Linked DNA regions of Macaca fascicularis. The protein of the gene in region 3 purifies or fractionates together with the protein of the main gene of each other region. This does not show direct contact. Links are inferred from orthologs where the notes say so. Each region holds a gene or a part of one and is shown on either strand. Other genes may lie near its edges. The genes, in order: BPTF, SMARCA5, BACC1, HMGXB4 and SMARCA1.

Evidence for each region.
Region 1: the proteins of BACC1 (region 3) and BPTF purify together in Homo sapiens (affinity purification with mass spectrometry; 5 studies listed by BioGRID and IntAct, with this or other methods). This does not show direct contact. The link is inferred for Macaca fascicularis from reciprocal best matches to the Homo sapiens genes BACC1 and BPTF.
Region 2: the proteins of BACC1 (region 3) and SMARCA5 purify together in Homo sapiens (affinity purification with mass spectrometry; 5 studies listed by BioGRID and IntAct, with this or other methods). This does not show direct contact. The link is inferred for Macaca fascicularis from reciprocal best matches to the Homo sapiens genes BACC1 and SMARCA5.
Region 4: the proteins of BACC1 (region 3) and HMGXB4 purify together in Homo sapiens (affinity purification with mass spectrometry; 4 studies listed by BioGRID and IntAct, with this or other methods). This does not show direct contact. The link is inferred for Macaca fascicularis from reciprocal best matches to the Homo sapiens genes BACC1 and HMGXB4.
Region 5: the proteins of BACC1 (region 3) and SMARCA1 purify together in Homo sapiens (affinity purification with mass spectrometry; 4 studies listed by BioGRID and IntAct, with this or other methods). This does not show direct contact. The link is inferred for Macaca fascicularis from reciprocal best matches to the Homo sapiens genes BACC1 and SMARCA1.

The regions. Positions count from the first base shown.
Region 1 is NC_088390.1:74,382,088-74,385,600, forward strand, and holds part of BPTF (nucleosome-remodeling factor subunit BPTF), read left to right. Parts: coding exon 1-220; intron 221-3,513. UniProt on the Homo sapiens protein: Regulatory subunit of the ATP-dependent NURF-1 and NURF-5 ISWI chromatin remodeling complexes, which form ordered nucleosome arrays on chromatin and facilitate access to DNA during DNA-templated processes such as DNA replication, transcription, and repair.
Region 2 is NC_088379.1:148,622,856-148,627,158, forward strand, and holds the start of SMARCA5 (SWI/SNF-related matrix-associated actin-dependent regulator of chromatin subfamily A member 5), read left to right. Parts: upstream 1-1,495; 5' UTR 1,496-1,718; coding exon 1,719-1,895; intron 1,896-4,303. UniProt on the Homo sapiens protein: ATPase that possesses intrinsic ATP-dependent nucleosome-remodeling activity.
Region 3 is NC_088390.1:7,050,980-7,055,289, reverse strand, and holds BACC1 (BPTF-associated chromatin complex component 1), read right to left. Parts: upstream 2,813-4,310; 5' UTR 2,753-2,812; coding exon 2,732-2,752; intron 2,549-2,731; coding exon 2,454-2,548; exon of another isoform or gene 2,332-2,453; intron 1,832-2,331; coding exon 1,730-1,831; exon of another isoform or gene 1,591-1,729; intron 1,109-1,590; coding exon 918-1,108; intron 700-917; coding exon 595-699; intron 541-594; exon of another isoform or gene 353-540; coding exon 288-352; 3' UTR 89-287; downstream 1-88. Other genes in the region: RNASEK (ribonuclease kappa), read right to left, coding at 3,325-3,466, 3,864-3,940. UniProt on the Homo sapiens protein: Component of chromatin complexes such as the MLL1/MLL and NURF complexes.
Region 4 is NC_088384.1:16,408,464-16,411,976, forward strand, and holds part of HMGXB4 (HMG domain-containing protein 4), read right to left. Parts: intron 1,643-3,513; 5' UTR 1,575-1,642; coding exon 1,544-1,574; intron 881-1,543; coding exon 732-880; intron 164-731; coding exon 85-163; intron 1-84. UniProt on the Homo sapiens protein: Negatively regulates Wnt/beta-catenin signaling during development.
Region 5 is NC_088395.1:135,737,528-135,741,040, reverse strand, and holds part of SMARCA1 (probable global transcription activator SNF2L1), read left to right. Parts: intron 1-2,324; coding exon 2,325-2,443; intron 2,444-2,554; coding exon 2,555-2,767; intron 2,768-3,513.

The DNA.
Region 1 (3,513 bases), about 67 Mb from region 3:
TGTCTGTAACCAGGTGATGAAGTATATTTTGGATAAGATAGATAAAGAAGAAAAACAGGCAGCAAAAAAACGGAAGCGTGAAGAGAGTGTGGAGCAGAAACGTAGCAAGCAGAATGCCACTAAGCTGTCAGCTCTGCTCTTCAAGCACAAAGAGCAGCTCCGAGCCGAGATCCTGAAGAAGAGAGCACTCCTGGACAAGGATCTTCAAATTGAAGTGCAGGTAAGAGGGCATGCCCTTTTCTTCTGTGTCCAGTGTTTAGCATCTAAGGTTCTGCTTTTTTCCCTTGCCTTTTTAATAAAGCTTCAAATTTCAGTATGTTTTCTGGAATTTGCCTCTGTGTACGTAGAGTAAAAAGCAGTGCGACGTGTGTGTCTTAAGAAACAAGTCAGAGCTTTTATAACTAAATGTATAGTTATATTGTGTTCTCCATACTAGCGACTCTGAGAGGTGAGCTTGTTGATTGAAATGTTGTAGAACTCTGAGAACAGCTTTTCAAGTCTATGACATAGTCTGGCCAAAAGTTAATTAGGAGCAGAGCTTCATGAGAAAGGTACGGAGACGATGAAGTAACGTTGAAAGAATGAAAAATAACATGAGTCCATTAAATAAGACAAATTCCACCAGGATGAGGTGGCTCGCTCCTATACTCCCAGTACTTGGGGAGGCCAAGACAGGCAGATCACTTGAGCCCAGAAGTTCGAGACCAGCCTGGCCAACATGGCAAGCCCTCGTCTCTACAAAACATGAAAAAGTTAGCCAGATGTGGTGGCACACAGCTGTGGTCCCAGCTTCTCAGGAGGCTGAGGCAGGAGGATCACTTGAGCCTGGCAGGTTGAAGCTGCAGTCAGCCCTGATGGCACCACTGCACTGCAGCCTGGGCAACAGAGCAAAACCCTGTCTCATAAACAAAGAAAAAAGAAAAATTTCTTCTTTGACTTGTAAATGATTCTGTAGGTATTGCTAACCTGCCTTCGAGAGGAATTTATTAAAAAATGAAAGTAGACTGGCTGTGGTGGCTCATACCTGTAATCCCAACACTTTGGGAAGCCAAAGTAGACAGATTGTTTGAGCCCAGGAGTTCAAGATCAGCCTAGGCAACATGGTGAAACCCTGTCTCTACAAAAAACACAAAATTAACCAAGCATGATGGCGTACACCTATGGTCCCAGCTACTTGGGAGGCTAATGTAGGATGATCACTTGAACCCAGAAGGCAGAGGTTGCAGTGAACCTTGATCACACCACTGCACTCCAGCCTGGGGAACAGAGTGAGACTCTGTCTCAAAAAAAAAAAAAAAAAAAAAAAAGTAGGGCCGGGTATAGTGGCTTACACCTGTAATCCCAGCACTTTGGGAAGCTGAGACGGGCGGATCACAAGGTCAGGAGTTTGAGACTAGCCAGACCAATGTGGTGAAACCCTGTCTCTACTAAAAATACAAAAATTAGCTGGGCATGGTGGCAGGCACCTGTAATCCCAGCTACTTGAGATGCTGAGGCAGGAGAATAGTTTGAACCCAGGAGGTGGAGGTTGCAGTGAGCTGAGATTGTGCCACTGCACTCCAGCCTGGACAATAGAGTGAGACTTCGTCTCAAAAAAAAAAAGTAGACATCTATTTATGCACATATATATATAACTTATACATAATTACACAGCTTTTTAGAAGAGAAGTAGGCTATCAGACATTTCAAGGCCGGGCGCAGTGGCTCATGCCTGTAATCCCAGCACTTTGGGTGGCCAAGGCAGGTGGATCACCTGAGGTCAGTTCAAGACCAGCCTGGCTAAGATGGTGAAACTCCGTCTCTACTAAAAACAAAAATTAGCCGGGCGTGGTGGCTGGTGCCTGTAATCCCAGCTAGTCAGGAGTCTGAGGCAGAGAGAATTGCTTGAACCAGGAAGGTAGAGGTTGCAGTGAGCCAAGATTGCGCCACTGCCCTCCAACCTGGGCAACAGAACGAGACGCCGTCTCAAAAAAAAAAAAAAAAAAATCATAACATGTCCTAAACTTTTTAAGAAGGTGAGAAGGCCGGGCGCGGTGGCTCAAGCCTGTAATCCCAGCACTTTGGGAGGCCGAGACGGGCGGATCACGAGGTCAGGAGATCGAGACCATCCTGGCTAACACAGTGAAACCCCGTTTCTACTAAAAAATACAAAAAACTAGCCGGGCGAGGTGGCGGGCGCCTGTGGTCCCAGCTACTCGGGAGGCTGAGGCAGGAGAATGGCGTAAACCCGGGAGGCGGAGCTTGCAGTGAGCTGAGATCCAGCCACTGCACTCCAGCCTGGGGGTGCAAAAAAAAAAAAAAAAAAAAAAGCAGGTGAGAAATAGGCCAGGCACAGCAGCTCATGCCTGTAATCCCAGCACTTTGGGAGGCCAAGGTGGGCAGATCACTTGAGCTCAGGTGAAGGCTGCAGTGATTCAAAATCATGCCATTGCCCTCCAGCTTGGGCGATAGAGCGAGACTGTCCCCCGCCCCCCAAAAAAAGGTGAGAAATAGTAAGAAAATATTAACCAGACTAATAATGTTACCTAACTGTGAAACATTAGAGATCTTCCAGTTAAAGTCAGAATCCTCAATGATGCCAACAATCGACATTATTATTTAGCATTTCTGGAAGTTCTGGCAAATGTGTTAAGCCAAGAAAAAGGCAAAAAGACAAAAAATTGAGGAAAGAAGACAACGTTGTTTTCATGTGCGATATGATTATTACATCAAAACCCCAAGAAAATAGTGATTACAATTTATAATTCAAGGCTGGGCATGGTGACCCCACCTGTAAATCCCAGCACTTTGGGAGGCCGAGGCAAGCGGATCATTTGAGGTCAGGAGTTCAAGACCATCCTGACCAACATGGTGAAACCCCATCTCTACTAAAAATACAAAAAAAGGCTGGGCACAGTGGCTCAATCCTGTAATCCCAGCACTTTGGGAGGCTGAGGTAGGCGGTTCACCTGTGGTCAGGAGTTTGAGACCAGCCTGACCAACATGGAGAAACCCTGTCTCTACTGAAAATACAAAAAATTAGCTGGGTGTGGCCTGTAATCCCAGCTACTCAGGAGGCTGAGGCAGGAGAATCGCTTGAACCCGGGAGGCGGAGGTTGCGGTGAGCTGAGATTGCACCGTTGCATTATAACGTGGGCAACAAGAGCGAAACTCTTGTCTCAAAAAAAAAAACAAAAAAATTCAAAAAAGTAAGCCGGGCATGGTAGCAGGTGCCTGTAGTCCCAGCTACTCGGGAGGCTGCGGCAGGAGAATTGCTTGAACCCGGGAGGCGGAGCTTGCAGTGAGCCTAGAGTGCACCACTGCACTCTAGCCTGGGCGACAGGGCGAGACTCTGTCTCAAAAAAAATTTTTTTTTTTTTTTTTTTTTTGAGACGGAGTCTCGCTCTGTCACCCAGGCTGGAGTGCAGTGGCGTGATCTCAGCTCACTGCAAGCTCCGCCTTCCGGGTTCCCGCCATTCTCCTGCCTCAGCCTCCCGAGTAGCTGGGACTACAGGCGCCCGCCACCTCACCCAG
Region 2 (4,303 bases), on a different chromosome or scaffold from region 3:
TTAACGGTTGTTAAAGGTTAATAGTTCATTTTCTGGGTGTACGATAGTTTTAAAGACGTAACTTTTAATACTGGATTCAGCCTACTGCTGTTAGCTTTTTGCAGTTACATATGAAGAGTATGATGAACATCATTGTAGGTATTTATCTTTGCACATATCCTTAGACATTTCCTTACAGTCTAAGAACTAGCATTTCTAGTGGAGTGGGGACATTTTTCCAGATGTCAATTAAAGAATTATTCCATTAGTTAAAAAATTTGCAGGCTATATATTCAAAGGAGATCCCTTTTGTTTGGAATTCAACATAACCAGTTAGCTCAAACCTCAACTCTTGAAAAATGTGCCTCCTTTATTCAACAAACATTTATAGAATACTGGATATGACGAATAAAAAAAGATAAATAAGACCCTGTGCTGGGCAGATAATCTACTGTAGTATGCAGATTTGTTATCAAATAGACTACAATGTATTTAAATTTTGCAGGAGATGAATGCACAAGGCCCTTAAGCTACATTGAAGGCTGCCTAAGGCAGTATACAAAATTAGTGCTGAACACTTGAGAAAGTGCGTTTTAATTTTAATGTTTGATGCTTGAGGAAAAGATTACATCATACCACCTATCTTCCCCACATACTATTTGTGTTTCTCACTTACATGGTAGTGTGCATGTTATTTGCTTACCTTTAGCATATAAATTCAGAAGAAATAGCATTTAACTCTGTGCTTAAAGAGGATATTTAGAAATAACTGACGCAGCTAACATGAGAAGGCAAAAAAACAAAACAAAAACCAAAAAAGAAAAAACTAACGGACTTTTTTTTTTTTTTTTTAACAAAACAGTGAGACGTCACTTGGGGTAACCATAACGTCGTCAAGGCTGTGGCGTCACGCCTCTAAGCGGATACGGCAGAAGTTTTGGGGTCAGACACAAGACTTCCAAGTTTGAATGGGCAGCGCAAAACTCAGGCAAGTTTTCCAGTAGTGCCGCCGATCCCAGCCAGGCCCGGAAGACACAACGAGAACCGTGAGCCGTTACGAAAGCCTAAAACACTGAGCTCGCGTCCTGCCAGACAGCAGACGCACAAACCTACGCCTCCGAGCGCTCCCTCGAGGTCCCGCCTACTCTTCTCTCCCGAGCCCGCTAGAGGTCTGGAGGAGGAGGGGCCAAGGGTGAGGAGGAGGGGCCAAGGGTAAGGAGGACAGTATGAGCATGCGCACTCAGTACCCAGTCAGTGAACCAATAAGGAATCTCGCGAGGGTTGAAAGTCGGTGGCGTAGGTAGTCGTCCTGGATGCTGGCGAGATAGACGATATCTGCCAGAGGAAGAGGAGGAGGAGGCGGCGAAGCGTTTTCCCAGCCTCAGTCTCTGTTTCGTTTTCCTTTTCCCTTCCCCCAACCCTCCGCCCTTCTCTAAATCAGCCCGCCTTCCTTGACCTCAGTGACCCGTCTGGCCCCGCCCATCCTCGTCGACGTGATTCCCGCCGTGAGGTAAGCGCCGGTGGAACCTAGAGCCCCGCGGAAGAGCAGAACGTCTGGGAGTGTGTAGCTCCTGGGCCCGGCTCAGGCCCGTCGCGGAGGCGCGGCGCGGGGGAGCGCTCGGGTGGGAGTCTCGCTCCTCCACCAGTTTATTGCGACGTAGCCACCCGGGCCTAGGCCTCCCCGTCCATCCCCGCCGGACTCGGCCTCTGGCAGCAGCGGGTGACGCAGACGGAACATCATGTCGTCCGCGGCCGAGCCTCCGCCACCCCCGCCTCCCGAGAGCGCGCCTTCCAAGCCCGCAGCCTCGACCGCCAGCGGCGGGAGCAACAGCAGCAACAAAGGCGGCCCCGAGGGCGTCGCTGCGCAGGCGGTTGCGTCTGCGGCCAGCGCGGGTCCCGCAGACGCCGAGATGGAGGTGAGGGCAGCTTGCGGCGTGGGGAGCGGGCGCAGCGGGGAGGAGGAGCTGGCTCCCTCGCCGGATCGTGGCGATCGGACGCAGAGCCGGGCTTCTCTCTCTGCACCAGACTCAGCTTCACACCCTGTGGATACGAAATGATGCTCTCACCCTTGCTCCCTTGTTCTTAACCTATTGGAGCCAAGCAAAATGGATTTCCGGCTCCTCACATTGAAATTATTTGTCTCTTTCGTGAATCTTGACAAATCTTTGAATGCTCTCAATGAACAGATGTTCTTGGTTACCGTGGCCCAGGGGGACCCATCTTTTTTTCGCACTAGACTCCCATAATTCCCTCTCCTACCTCTGAATGTGGTTTTTAGTTTCCACCAAACTTCGGGGAAGGGCGAGGAGATGACCCCTTAGGAGCGGGATGCACGGGCAGGGTGAAGGAGGCATTTAAAAGCAGCGCGTCCGAGGACTTGGGCCTCTTTTTCTTCTTCCCGGTCTTTGCGGGGGCGGTATCTGTTCTGGGCAGAAACAATGGCGAGAGCTGGATGGCCGAGTGCGCAGTGGGGATAAGCGGGGCGCAGCTGCTTCTGTGAAGGGAGAGGAAGCCCCTCCCAGGCACTGTTCCACTGGAAGGGAAGCAACCAAGGCAGCAGCAGCTGTCTCGGATCCCCCATCGAATTTAGGGGGGATGAGTAAGTGTAGGAATGAATTAGAGAACCAGGCGCAGTTGATTGGCTCTCAGTCCGGCACTTTTTCTCTTTTTGGCGTCTCGCCTTAAAAAAAAAAAAAAATTAGTACCACTCGGCTCCCGAGACTTCTGGGTTTGGGTTGTCCAGAGGATGCTGACGGTACTTAGGGGGCTGGAAAGATGGGGAAGCTGCCAGGCGGGTAAATTGGATATGCCTCCAGGCTTTGCAATATCTGGGGAAAAAGTAATTGCTCCTTCCAATTGTTATTCTTGGCCTTCGACCTGTTTTGAAATATTTTGTAAGTCGGAGCCCAAAGATTTCTGGGATTTTCCTATCCTTAGAATGAAGGTAATACTGCTCCGAAGATGAGTCTTGACGCACAATCGTTGTACAGTGGGGAAATGGGAGCGTAGTTTACCATTGAGGCATTTGGCACAGTAGTTTTATTTGGGTAGCTGGGGTTAGGTAACATTAATGTTAGTAATCTTTTAAAGAACTTTTAGTGTGAGGGTAGGTTTAGTGACATAGGAACTCCTGATGGTTCCTGTAGTTTTGAGTGATTAGGATAAGATTTCTTTCAAATTAAAATATATTCAGTGTTGCCTTTTTTCCCCTTAAGGAAATGGTTCTCTTGGGTTACCAGGGCTCTTTAACTTGAATTCGGTTCCAAGGCTTAAGGGGTTTGACACAAAGCAATTGTGTGTAAATGTGCAGTTCTGGACAAAAATCTGTTCATAGTTATCCTCAGCCTCTCAAAGGGGGGTCTGCCATCCAAACTTTGGAAAAATAAATTTTCACCAGAGGTCTTGTTAATATCTGAATACAGTAATTTTAAGCCAAAAGCAAGTCAACTTTTTTGACTTGAAGTTGTTATTTTAAATGAAAATTGATTTTAAGTTTAAATGTGAGTATAGATGATGTCACTACCGTATTAAATTAGTGATATTTTCATTTGCCAGATGGGGAATTTGAGTTCTGCTAGGTAGAACCTGTGATAAAACTCAGGTCTGCCTTTAAAAGTGAGCCTTTTCCCACCCATCTTACTCTGCCGTGTTCTTACCAAAAAAACGTATTTGGCAGTTCAATTTATTGAATAACATAGTTATTTTTACCTTCCTAGTATAGAAGTATTAGGAATTTTTTTTTTATCCATCTTATCACTGACTCATTTTGTTGTTGTTGTTGACAGTGTGATTTTTTTGTCTTAAAATGCACCGTCAGTTTCCTGTTCAGAATCACTGCAATTCATGATCAAAACTAAGTTTGAGCACACATGCCTAATATATGTCACAACTTAATCTGTTTTGCACTTGGAAAATGAATATTTTATAAATGACTTTTTCTTGTTTGGAAGTATGATCTAAGGTGTTTTTCTAAAATCACAGAATAAACTCAGCATTCATGAATTTTGTGTGTGTGTGTGTGTGTGTGTGTGTGTGTGTGTGTGTGTGTGGCAAAGCTGATTTTCCCAGAAATAGCCTGCCTATGTATTCAGTTACTTTTTTTCTTTTTGCATGATACTAACAGGTCAATGGAGCAACTTGTTTTTTAGTTATCCTTTTGGCAATGTGGAACTCTTCTGTGTTCATCCTCATCTTTATTGACTAGATTGATATGCCAATAATGATGATGTCAAAATGCCTGGAAGTCAGGTTTTTTGGTTTTTTTTTTTTAAACTGTGGAAGAAATAATGACTACCGTTGGAAAGCACATTTTATTTTTGTAGGT
Region 3 (4,310 bases):
ACCGAGGAGGGGCTGAGCCCCCACGGGCCGAGGAGAGAAGAGGGAACAGCCCTCTCCTGCTAATAATGTTAAGCAGACAGCACGAAGCTGAGAGGGAAATCTTTATTGTTTTCTGTATAAAAATGTCCATCAGATGAAGGTCAAGGGGGTCGGGGGCAGATGCTTATGCGGGCACAGCGAGGTGGCAGCCCCAGCAGCCTTTCAGCCCTCTCTCGTGCAGGCCTTGCTCGGAGTCCCAGGAGATCCACAGGTCCAGCGTGAACAGTGAGAGGTCAGAGGTGGAAGGCTCAGCAGGAGAGGAGAGGAGGATCAGCAGAGGTCATGAGAAGGCCAGAATCCAGGGTCAGGCTGTCTGGAACAGGAAGTAAAATGGGCCGAGATGGAGCGAGCCCCCAGTGTGCTTCCGAGGCCACTCCCAGCTCCCTGAAACACCCTGCTACGTACTGACCCAATGCCCTGCGCTGTGTATGAGAGCACCTTCTCTTCCGAAACCCCTGTACGAGGGAGGGGCCCCTGCGGAGACCGTGCCCTGCCATCCAGGTGAGCCCTTTCTCCCCCACCCTGTCAGCTGTGTGGGAGGAGGAGGACTCCTACCCTGGTCGAAGTTGAGTTTCTTAGCTGGAGGAGTTTCTCCTAGCCCTTCAATATCCACCAGGTCACTGTTGGCGTCGGAGTCGTTCAGAGCACTGAGTGTCACATCTGGGAAGGGGGCATAAGCTAGGTTCTAGGTTCCCCTGACGGCCTCTCCCCCAGCCCCGAGCTTCCCAAAGCTTCGTGCCTCCCCTCCCCTCTGCCCCTCTCTGGGAACCTCCACAGGGACAGGAAGAGAGCTTGACCCTTCTTTGACCCAGGCCCAATTCTCTCACTGAACCTCAGATGGACTTTTAACCCCTAGGTAGCAAGTCCACAGCCCTCACCGGCCTTCTGTTTCTTTATGGGGGGACCCCCGGCCTCGGGGACACTGGAGCTGCTGGGAGGAGGGGCAGCTGGAGGAGGTGATAAGACACCAGATGCCACCTTCTTGGGCCCTTTCTTGGGTGACTCAGCTGGAAGGGGGATGCCAGAATCTTCATATACCTTGCGTTTCACAGTGGCCTTTATCTGAGCCCTGAAGAAAAGAGAGAAGAGGTTAGGAAAGGAGTCATCAGAGAGACTAACAGAAGAAGGGAGGGGAGGTGAAGGGGTTCTGGGAGTCCCTTGAAAAGAATCCAGGTCGGGGCCCCAGCCCATTGGGAGGGTTCTCACTTTCCCAAAGTTTTACACTCACTCAGGGTGGGTGGAATGTGGAGAGTGGAGTCCCTGAGATGAGTAGTGGGAAAGGCCCATCTCCTCATTCTCTTCCGGGAGAGACATCGGGTAAGGCTTGGTGATTTACAGGTGGATTGGGATTTACTGATCAACTAGTTCAGGATCACCATATCCCTGGAAACACTGCAGTGGAGTCCCCCAAAATTTATATAAATAACCAGGGGACTTCCATCATCAAATACAATAACTGAGCATCTCAGGCAACCTAAATTCACATTCTTGGAAGGACTACCACAGCATTTTAGGAACTTCTGACCAACTGTGACAATTCTGTTCTTTCAGTTCTCAAGGGCATTCTAAAAAACTAGTGACAAAGTAGGGAAGCAGCTGAGCTGGAAAGGAGTTCTGAGGACGATGGAACCTTGGGTAAGGAGGAAGAAGGCTGCCCACCCGCCCTTTTCTGGCAGCCACCCTCCCTCACACTGTCCGTTCCTTGATGACACAGCTGATGTGATTAAGATCGTCCCCAAATCGCTTCACAGCAGCCCTCAGCATCTCTATTTCCGTCTCCGTCCACTTCGCACTGTCAGAAGGGGAGAGGGGGGATAGCAAAAATGGGAGGGGGGGTGTGGAGCCAGCCCACAGGCTATGCATCCCACAGTCAACCAGCCGCCTCCTTCCGACTTCTGGGACCCCTTCCACGGATGCATAAAGAGGTCCTCCATAGGGGCGGGGGACGGGCGGGAAGCTCTTGAGGGCCCTGCGGGAACCTGGAGGACCCCAATCACAAGAAATCACAACCACCTCCACCTTAGACACCCCTTTCCACCATGAACGTTAAACGGCTGCTGTACACAGCACACTGAAACCAACTCGCCAAGAAGGGCTTTTCAAACAGACCCACCAACAGCCTGCAGCCGTCTGGGGGAATTCCATGAACTGGGGTGGTTGGGAGTGGCGGTGGTTTGTGGTCGACCCGTTCGCAGCAGGGAGAACTGTGAAATAGGAGTCTGGGCCATAGGCCTGTCTGTATTTTTATCTGTCATTCATTCCCTCATCCAACGATCATTTATTAACACCTACTCTGTGCTGTGCCAGGCACAAAGGGAAACTAACGTCTGTCCCTGTGCTAGAGAGGGTCCGTGTCTGTGACCGAGTCCAAGCGCCCGCTCTCAGCGTCCACGTCCCAGTCCGGGCTCACGTACCCCGCAGGGGAAGAGTCGGCCACAGGATGCAGCTGCATCGTCAGCTCCCCGAGCTTCGTGAAGGCGGCGCCGGCCGCCGAGAAGATCTCTCCGACCTGGGGGCGGGGCAGCGTCACGGGGGGCCGGCGCCCGCCCTCCCCGTCCCGCCTGGAGCCCCTAGCCCCACCCCAGGCTCGGCTCCCGCCCGCCCCCCGCCCGGGGCGGAAGAGCCGCGAGCCAAGTGGGGGGCCCGCCCTCCCGTGGCCGCCAGGGAGCGCTGTCCGCGGGGGAGGTCGAACCTTTGTGGACGCTGACGTCATGGCCCCGCGCGCCTCCTCACGGAGACGCCGCCGCCGCCGCTACACGCGAGCCGGGACCACGGAGAGCAGGGAGACGGAGCGGCTCAGGCCCCCGCGCAGGAAGTCCCGCCCTTCCCGCAGCGGATAGGCTCAACCCTGTGGCTCCCCGCCCCATCAGATGCAGTCGCTTCGACAGCTTGGCGCGCCCAGGCCAAGGGGGAAGCCTTCGCCTCACTTCCGCACCACTTCACTCCACTTCCGCTCAGGGGTCGGGACTCCCCAGGCAGAGGCCGACCTCCAGCCTCAGCCCCGTGCTCGCCCCCACTGAAGCACAGACACAGGGCATAAGAGAGCAGATTCTCTTTATTGAGATACGGGACACAGCGAAGGGTGGAGAGACGGAACAGCCCCCCAGCCTCAGCCCTCTCCACGGGGGCCGGATGCCAGAGATGGGAGAAGAAGAGATTCAGTCTCTCGCCCGGGAAACTCAGTCCCGCAGAGGGTGCCGGCAAGGGTGGGACGCGACCCGGGTGACGCGGTGCAGGGAGTCTTTAAATAGAGGAGGGGCTGGAGCGGGGAAGGGCCCCCGGGCCCTAGCGCACCATGTATTCCTTGCGCTTATTGAGCCGAACTTGGCAGAAAGAGAAGCCTCCGAGGAGGAGGTAAAGGCCCGCGGCGATGAAACAGTTGTAGCTGACTTGCTCGTAAAGGTTGTATATGTTCTGGGGGCCATTCCTGGGGGTGGGAATGAAGCAAAGGTGTCAAACGTTAATAGCAGCCAACGTTTGCTGAGCAGTATGTGCCCAGCACCTGTCTAGGCGCTGTTACGTGTATTACTTTATTCAATCTTCTTGACAATCCTATGGGGTGAGATCTGTCATAGCAGCCATTTTGCAGAGGTGGACTGAGAGGCACAGAAAAGTAAAATACGTAAAGAGGCCACACCTAAAGTGGTGGGTTTGGAATGGCCGCTGAGGTCTGACTCCCTAGCTCCTAACCACATTCTCAAGAAAGCAGCTGTCCTCTCCCTGTTCCCTAACCTAGGGGCCCCAAGCACCCGACCTCCCAGACGTAATCTGACCTCGCCACCTCCCACCTGATCCCAGCCCGCCTCCCCCACCCGAATACTTACTCAAAATCTTTCTCCGTGAAGGGAACGTCCTCAATCAACACAGCGGAATGGACATTGAAAAATATTCCGAGCATTATCTGGAAAAGGGGAATGGGTAGGTTGTTGAATTCAGGCACCTGACCTCAAGTTCACTTCGTAAACCCCTCCCATTTCTAATGTTGCTACCACACCCGTGCCTAAGATGAACCAAAACGAGGTGGTGGTTACTGGATTCGGACTCAGCCACCTGGAACAGGGCGTGAGGTGGTGACATTGAGACAAGTGGCCGAGGCAAGGGTAGGAATAGTGACCAAGCCTTCTCTCCCAGGAACCCAGATTATCGTCCTCCCTGGAGGCGTCATCATCACGGGACAGTGCGCAAGAGGGGAGGGAGAATCGGCACTTCTTCGTATCATTTCTTCTTGAAGTGGCGGTGGGTGGATTACTGGGAAAACAAGGCCCAGCTAC
Region 4 (3,513 bases), on a different chromosome or scaffold from region 3:
GCAACATCTGGATCCCTTTCCCCTACCCCGACTCCAAGAACCAGCGATGTGTTTATCCCACCTGTTGCCCATTCCCATCCTCACCTCCATAGTAGTAATCATCAGAGGAGTGCTTCCTCTTCTTCTTGTGTGTGTCCGTCCCCAAGAAGTAAAGTTCGCTATCCTATAATTAAAGAAGAAGAATTGACCAATAATAAGATGATGAGGCAAATGCAGTTTGGAACCACTCTTGTCTTTGATGATTTCTGACTTTGGGAAACAAAGCACAAGAAATAATAAAAACAGATGCACACAACATTTTATTTTTCTTTTCTAAAGTTATTAAAAAACACTTCCTTCTTCAAATATTAGGAAATATGGTAAGAAGTAGTTTAAGACTTTCCTGGTGCAGTGGTTCAGGCCTGTAATCCTAGCACTTTGGGAGGCTGAGGCAGGTGGATCATTTGAGGTCAGGAGTTTGAGACCTGCCTGGCCAACATGGTGAAACCCTGTCTCTAATAAAATACAAAAATTGGCCGGGCTTGGTGGCAGGAACCTGTTAATCCCAGCGACTCGGGAGGCTGAGGCAAGAGAATCGCTTGAACCCGGAAGGTGGAGGTTGCAGTGAGCAGAGATCACGCCACTGCACTCCAGCCTGGGCCACAAGAGCAAAAAAACCCTCTGCATCAGAAAAAAAAAAAAAAAAAAAAAGGTAGTTTAAGACTTTCCTAATTTAAATTTTTAGGACTTACCTTCAACTTCTTCTTGGAAGAATTCCTGACCTGAGCAGCAATTTCTTCCTCTTCCCTTAAAAAATCTTTGTAAGAACGTTTTTTCTCTCGTTGGCTTCGGCCAGCTGCAAGTCCTATGTCCTCAAAGGTATGATCACCATCAAAACAATCTGAGAAGCACAGGTTTATTTGGGAAAGGAAATGAGAAAGTCAAGTAAGTAACGACCAAATCACCATGCAGGTAATGCAACAGTTCCTCTATTTCCAAATTAAAACAATGTTTCAATCAAGTCCACTGAAATACAGGGCTAGACCCAGGGGAACAGAATATTTCTTGATGACCTGGCTGCAAATACAAGAATCAAACCTGAAGAAACAATGTTTCCACGCTATGCAAAGGCCCCATGTGCGACCTCAGATATGATTTCTTAGTTGTGATTTGGTAGGTGGACACAGACTTGCAGACGAAAGGCTGAAAAGAATAAGGATTCATGATTCATGTGCTGTGCTGCTCTCTGTGGGAGTCCAGGATGTGATTCCTATCCCCAGACTCCTGCACACTGGAGCTGGCAAGGACCAAGAGTGCTGCAGGGGATCACCCCAATAAACTAAGAGACTCATATTTCAGACTCTCGTGTTGGAACCCCTGTCCTGGTTTTCGTTTCCATGGGCCCAGTCTGGGGATGGCGTGGAGGCTGAGTGTCATAACAGTGCTCTAGACCATCACTTGGGAGTCCAGGCTGTGGTGCCCAGTCCTGGTCTCTATATCCATGGGCTGCAAGGATTGAAGAGGATACCCCCTTTGGAATGCTTCTCAGATTATGGGGTCATACCTTCTTTCTTCACGGAGTCATCATAAGCCATGGTGGTCCTGCAGGGCCTTTGAGAATGTGTCACTGTGTCCAGGCTCCTTCCCGTCTACAGGACCAGGTCTGAGAAACAAAGAAGGAAAACCCTCCTGTAATGCGAAATCAGAGGAGAAGCAACCTTCCAGATGGAAATGTGTAGTGATCCAAGGGCCGACTGGAAGGGCAGCAAGAAATAAAGGAGTGTCTTGTCACCTCCTCATTCTCTTTGTAAATATAGTGGGGTTGATACTGCAGGAAGTACACTAGGCTTAATTAGATTTCAGTCATGAATTAAAGTTGTCATTTGGGGAAGTATATAAAATACCTCCAATACAAAAAATATTTTCAAAATTAATGAGAATTTCTGAAATGCCAACAGGACTGACAACACTGAGACAGGGTAGAAACCAACATTAAGTTAGAGGGATAGGTTCAATCTTGGTTATAAAATACACAGGTAAAGCAAGATGCAGAGAAGACAGATCACACCAAACATTTGAAGACCATAAAATCCTACCAACTGGATTGGTGAACTGGTAACATCTATTGCATTGTAATTTAAACAGAAATGATTAACTGTATAGGAATATTAAATATCTTTAGAGCATAATTTCTTTTGCATTTTGGGGGGGGGTTACATGAATTTGTTCAAATTTATGTAATTGTAAAAGCAGGTACACTCCTTACATCAGTTGACCATGTGACAGCTGTCACCACCACCAAGGCTTTCTTAAAGGCTAGGTGAAAATGGAGATATTTATCATTTGTCCACTGGTCATAAAACTTTTATGATTAATAAGATCTTCACTAATAAGAATTGCTATAATTTAAATGTTCTAGATATTGTATTGAGTTTTATTGAATTTTTACAATCTTTTTTTGGCATTTGAGTTTATATGTCCATTTTGACTTTGACGATAACAATGCTATAAAATGCACTGTAAGTTTTTTTTTTTTTTTTTCTTTTTTTTTGAGACAGTCTTGCTCTGTTGCCCAGGCTGGAGTGCAGTGGCAGTTTCGGCACACTGCAACTTCTGCCTCCCAGGTTCAAGTGATTCTCCTGCCTCAGCCTCCCCAGTAGCTGGGATTACAAGCACCTGCCACCACGCCCAGCTAATTTATGTATTTTTAGTAGAGATGGGGGTTTCACCATCTTGGCCAGGCTGGTCTTGAACTCTTGACCTCATGATCCACCCGCCTCAGCCTCCCAAAGTGCTGGGATTACAGGTGTGAGCCATCGTGCCCAGCCAAGGTAAAGTTCTTTAAAAGTTTTAAGAACAAGTAATGTCACAAGTCCTTCAGGAAATTTAAAATTACATATTAAATATTTTGGCAATGTTCTCATCCAGTTAAGTCAGATGCTTACAAAGTTAATCTAATTGATCATTTATTTAAATTTAATTTGACCTTCATTATTATAAGGGGACTTAGAAATACTGAAGGACACTTAAATGACACATTACTAATTCCTTCAGGCAACTGTGGACAATACTGAAGCATGGAACTTTTGTGAAAGAAAAGATGAATTTGATTAACAAGGGAAGCTTTCATAAGTTACATTAAAAAGACTTATTTGCACAAATCAGATAAAATACAATGTACAGGTAGGCCTGAATAGGAAAATGAAGCATTACGAAGAACGATTTATAAGAAAAGAAACATAAAGCATTTCTTCACTTCTCTGAGAAGTGAAATAAAGAATGGATTTGGTCAAAGTAACAGAAGCTAGAGTAATGAAACTACATTAACTGGATTGTTTTAAAGATAAACTGGAGAACTGCCTGTTCGAAGGGCCTTTTCACAGGAAACGAAGGGGACATAAGGTCAGGCCTCAGATAAAAATGTGAGGAGGCAAGATACATAATGTAGCCAGTTTTTCATGTTCCAGCATTTAAGGATGAAAGTTTCTCAGTGGAAACTACTGTCCTCCCCTTTCCACCCAAGTGGTGCTGACT
Region 5 (3,513 bases), on a different chromosome or scaffold from region 3:
TAACTGGTCCTCGAATCGTCTCCCTCTCTTACTCACCTGTGTTGTTGAGCTTGACCAGAATCAGTGTAGCTGCTGAAGCATATGGATTTTTTTTACACTTACTGGTTTATTATAAAGGATATTGCAAAGGATACAGATGAAGCGTGTAGGGCAAGGTATGGGCCAAGGGGCGCAGCGCTTCAGTGCCCTCCCTGGGCATGCCACCCTCCAGAAACCTCCTCGTGTTTAGCTATCCAGAAATCTTATTAAAAATAGGTAAATATGTCTAGCAAGTTTTCTATATGTAGTATATAGGACTTTTCTAACTTCCAAATAGGTTCAGCTCTTAAAATTATAATTTGAAACAAGATGTTTAGAATCTGGAGCATTTTTTGTCATTGAAACAATGGCAAAGTAGGTTTAAGTTTACAAAGTAGGTTTAAGTTTCTATGATAGCCCCTGCCCCAAATCTATTTAACCTAACCACTGAAATTCTGTTTTTGCAATAGTAGGAAAGAAATATTACAGTAACAATAAATATACTAAAGATTAATAATGGCTAGGAACAGCTTTTAATTTATCTAGCATGCTAGTGCTTGAAGAAATCCAGATTTAAGTAGAGAGATTTTTTTTTCTTCTGGAAATCTAAAAGGGTCTTCTGGGGGACTTTAGAGGTCAGTTGTATTGAGTTTTTATTACATATAACATTAAGTTTATGAACTTCCTTTTCCTTGATACCAGCATGACATTACTATTACTCTGAACATTTAGCACATAAATTTAGGGCATTTGGAGGCTTAGGGGAAAAAATAGATTGAAGAGAGAAATTTTAGCATCAAGAGTTGAATGAAAAGAATGTAAAAGGGTATGTGCAGAGAGATTTTTAAGAAGAATTTTCTTCAGAAGATAGACAGGGAGATAACATCAGTGTGTGTGAATTTGCAAGAAAAAATGTGATTTAAAAAGATTGTCCTGTCAGACATTCTTTCAAATTTGACACCAGGCCAGGTGGCATGACTAGCTCAGGACTATTTAATTGCTGCCTGCCAGGTTGGGGGCCATGTCACAGGGTGGGGACATTGCAATGAGTTTGTTGTAGTTGGTTACAGTAAGAGAAGAAATGTATACAATTGGCCACCCTTGAATATACAGTATCTTGTACATAGCAGTTGTTTAAATATTTGTTGAATGATTGAGTGAATGAATAAATGAACACAGGTGCTTATAAAAATCAGAGTGCTCACATACCTTTCTTGATAGGCTCTAAAAATGAAAAGCTTGAGGATGTGGAGTATGTCATTAAAAGGCCTTTCATTGAAGTCATAAGATGTGACATATTAATACAGCCAGATTATTTGGCTCATCTATAAAATCTGGTTGAGTGACTTGAAGTATTTTTCAGTGTGTATGCAATTAAAATCCCAATGAGGTTTTTTTTTTTTTTTTTTTTTTTTTTTTTTTTTTTTTTAATAATGAGAAAAGGGTATTCCAAGTAAGTTTAAAAACACACTATTGGTCATTGGAAATACCGTAAGATGATTACTGAGTGATTCCAAAAGCAAATGACAATTTCAGGAGAAATGGCTGCTCCATAGAAAAAATTTGAACAATCTGTTCATAATAGCTTGTTTTTTTTGTTTATTTGTTTGTTTTTGAGACAGAGTGTCACTCAGTCACCCAGGCTGGAGTGCAATGGTGTGATCTTGGCTCACTGCAGCCTCCACTTTCCGGGTTCAAGCAATTCTCCCGCTTCAGCTTCCCGAGTAGCTGGAATTACAGGCGCGCACCACCATGCGCAGCTAATTTTCATATTTTTAGTAGAGACGAGGTTTCACCAGGTTGACCAGGCTGGTCTCAAACTCCCAACCTCAGGCAATCTGCCCACCTCGGCCTCCCAAAGTGCTGGGATTACGGTGTGAGCCACTGCGCCCGGCTCATAATTGTTTTTGCATGCTAGGAAGCTATATTCACAGTTTATATATTGCTCTCTCCTGTGTCACTTTATGTGTTTGGTCCCTTTTCTATCATGTTTGAGTAAAAAGCCTATCTTACATCAGTGTCTGCACCATCTTTTGAAATCCTAGTCATTTGGGATGGATCATAAGATTCCATACTATTTCATGAAGGGAACATTGCTAGCCTAAAACCTTGTTGAGGTCTTATTTTTAAGTGAAAAGTTAGTAGTATTTAATAATTGAACATATTATATATATAAGATGAATGTGAATCTTAATTTTAAGAAGTACAAGCTTACTGCATTATTTCCCATTAATTCCTTATTCTACAATTCCTTGGATTTATTTGCTTAAATAATAGGATTGTAAAGAAATAACTCTGTTTTTCAGCTGTATTTTGGGAACGTTGCAATGAATTACAAGACATTGAGAAAATTATGGCTCAAATTGAACGTGGAGAAGCAAGAATTCAACGAAGGATCAGTATCAAGAAAGCCCTGGATGCCAAAGTACTATATTTTATGTCAAATTATTATTAGATCGTCTTAATTGATATGGTGGTCAGCTTTGACTTCTTACTGCACGTTCAATTAAAAGCACTATTTTGTTTAAATACACAGATTGCAAGATACAAGGCTCCATTTCATCAGTTGCGCATTCAATATGGAACCAGCAAAGGAAAGAACTATACTGAGGAAGAAGATAGATTCTTGATTTGTATGTTACACAAAATGGGCTTTGATAGAGAAAATGTATATGAAGAATTAAGACAGTGTGTACGAAATGCTCCCCAGTTTAGATTTGACTGGTTTATCAAGTCTAGGACTGCCATGGTATGTATTCCTTTCTTACCGATTTCCTCCAACTTTATATTTTGAAAAATTTCAGACGTCATATATCCTTCACCTAGATTCTTCAATTAACATTTTGGCACATTGGTGCTCTCTCTTTCTCTCTCTCTGTATATATATGTATACATATGCAGCACCTATACATACCTGTAGAATCTATACTTTGTATTAAAAATATGGGGGCATCTATATTCTATATTCTGAAATGCATATCTATAGTTTATATTTGTAAGTATACTTAACTATATTTCTGAACCATTTGAAAATTACTGACAATGTGAGTGTTCACCTCTAAATACTTAAGCATATATCTCCTGAGAATAATGACATTTTCTTACATAACCACAGTCCCACCTGAAAACATTGATTCAGTAATGTCATTTAGTATACAGTCCATGTGTAAGATTTTCCAGTGGTCCCCAAAATGCTCTTTATAGCTGTTTTTTTAAAATTGATGATCCTACAAGTTTCACACATTGCATTTCGTTGTTGGGTCTCTTTAATCTCTTTTAATCCACAACTTTTTGGTTTTCGTGATCATGACTTTTTAAAGGTGTCCAGGCTAGCTGTCTTGTAGAATGTCCCACATTGTGGATTTGCCTCATTACTCATTGTAAGATTTAGGTTCAACATATTTGGCAAGAGTGCTATGGAAGTGATGTTATGTATTTTTTATTGCATCCCATCAGAAGGCACATTATGTCATGTTGTCACACTGTTGGTGATGC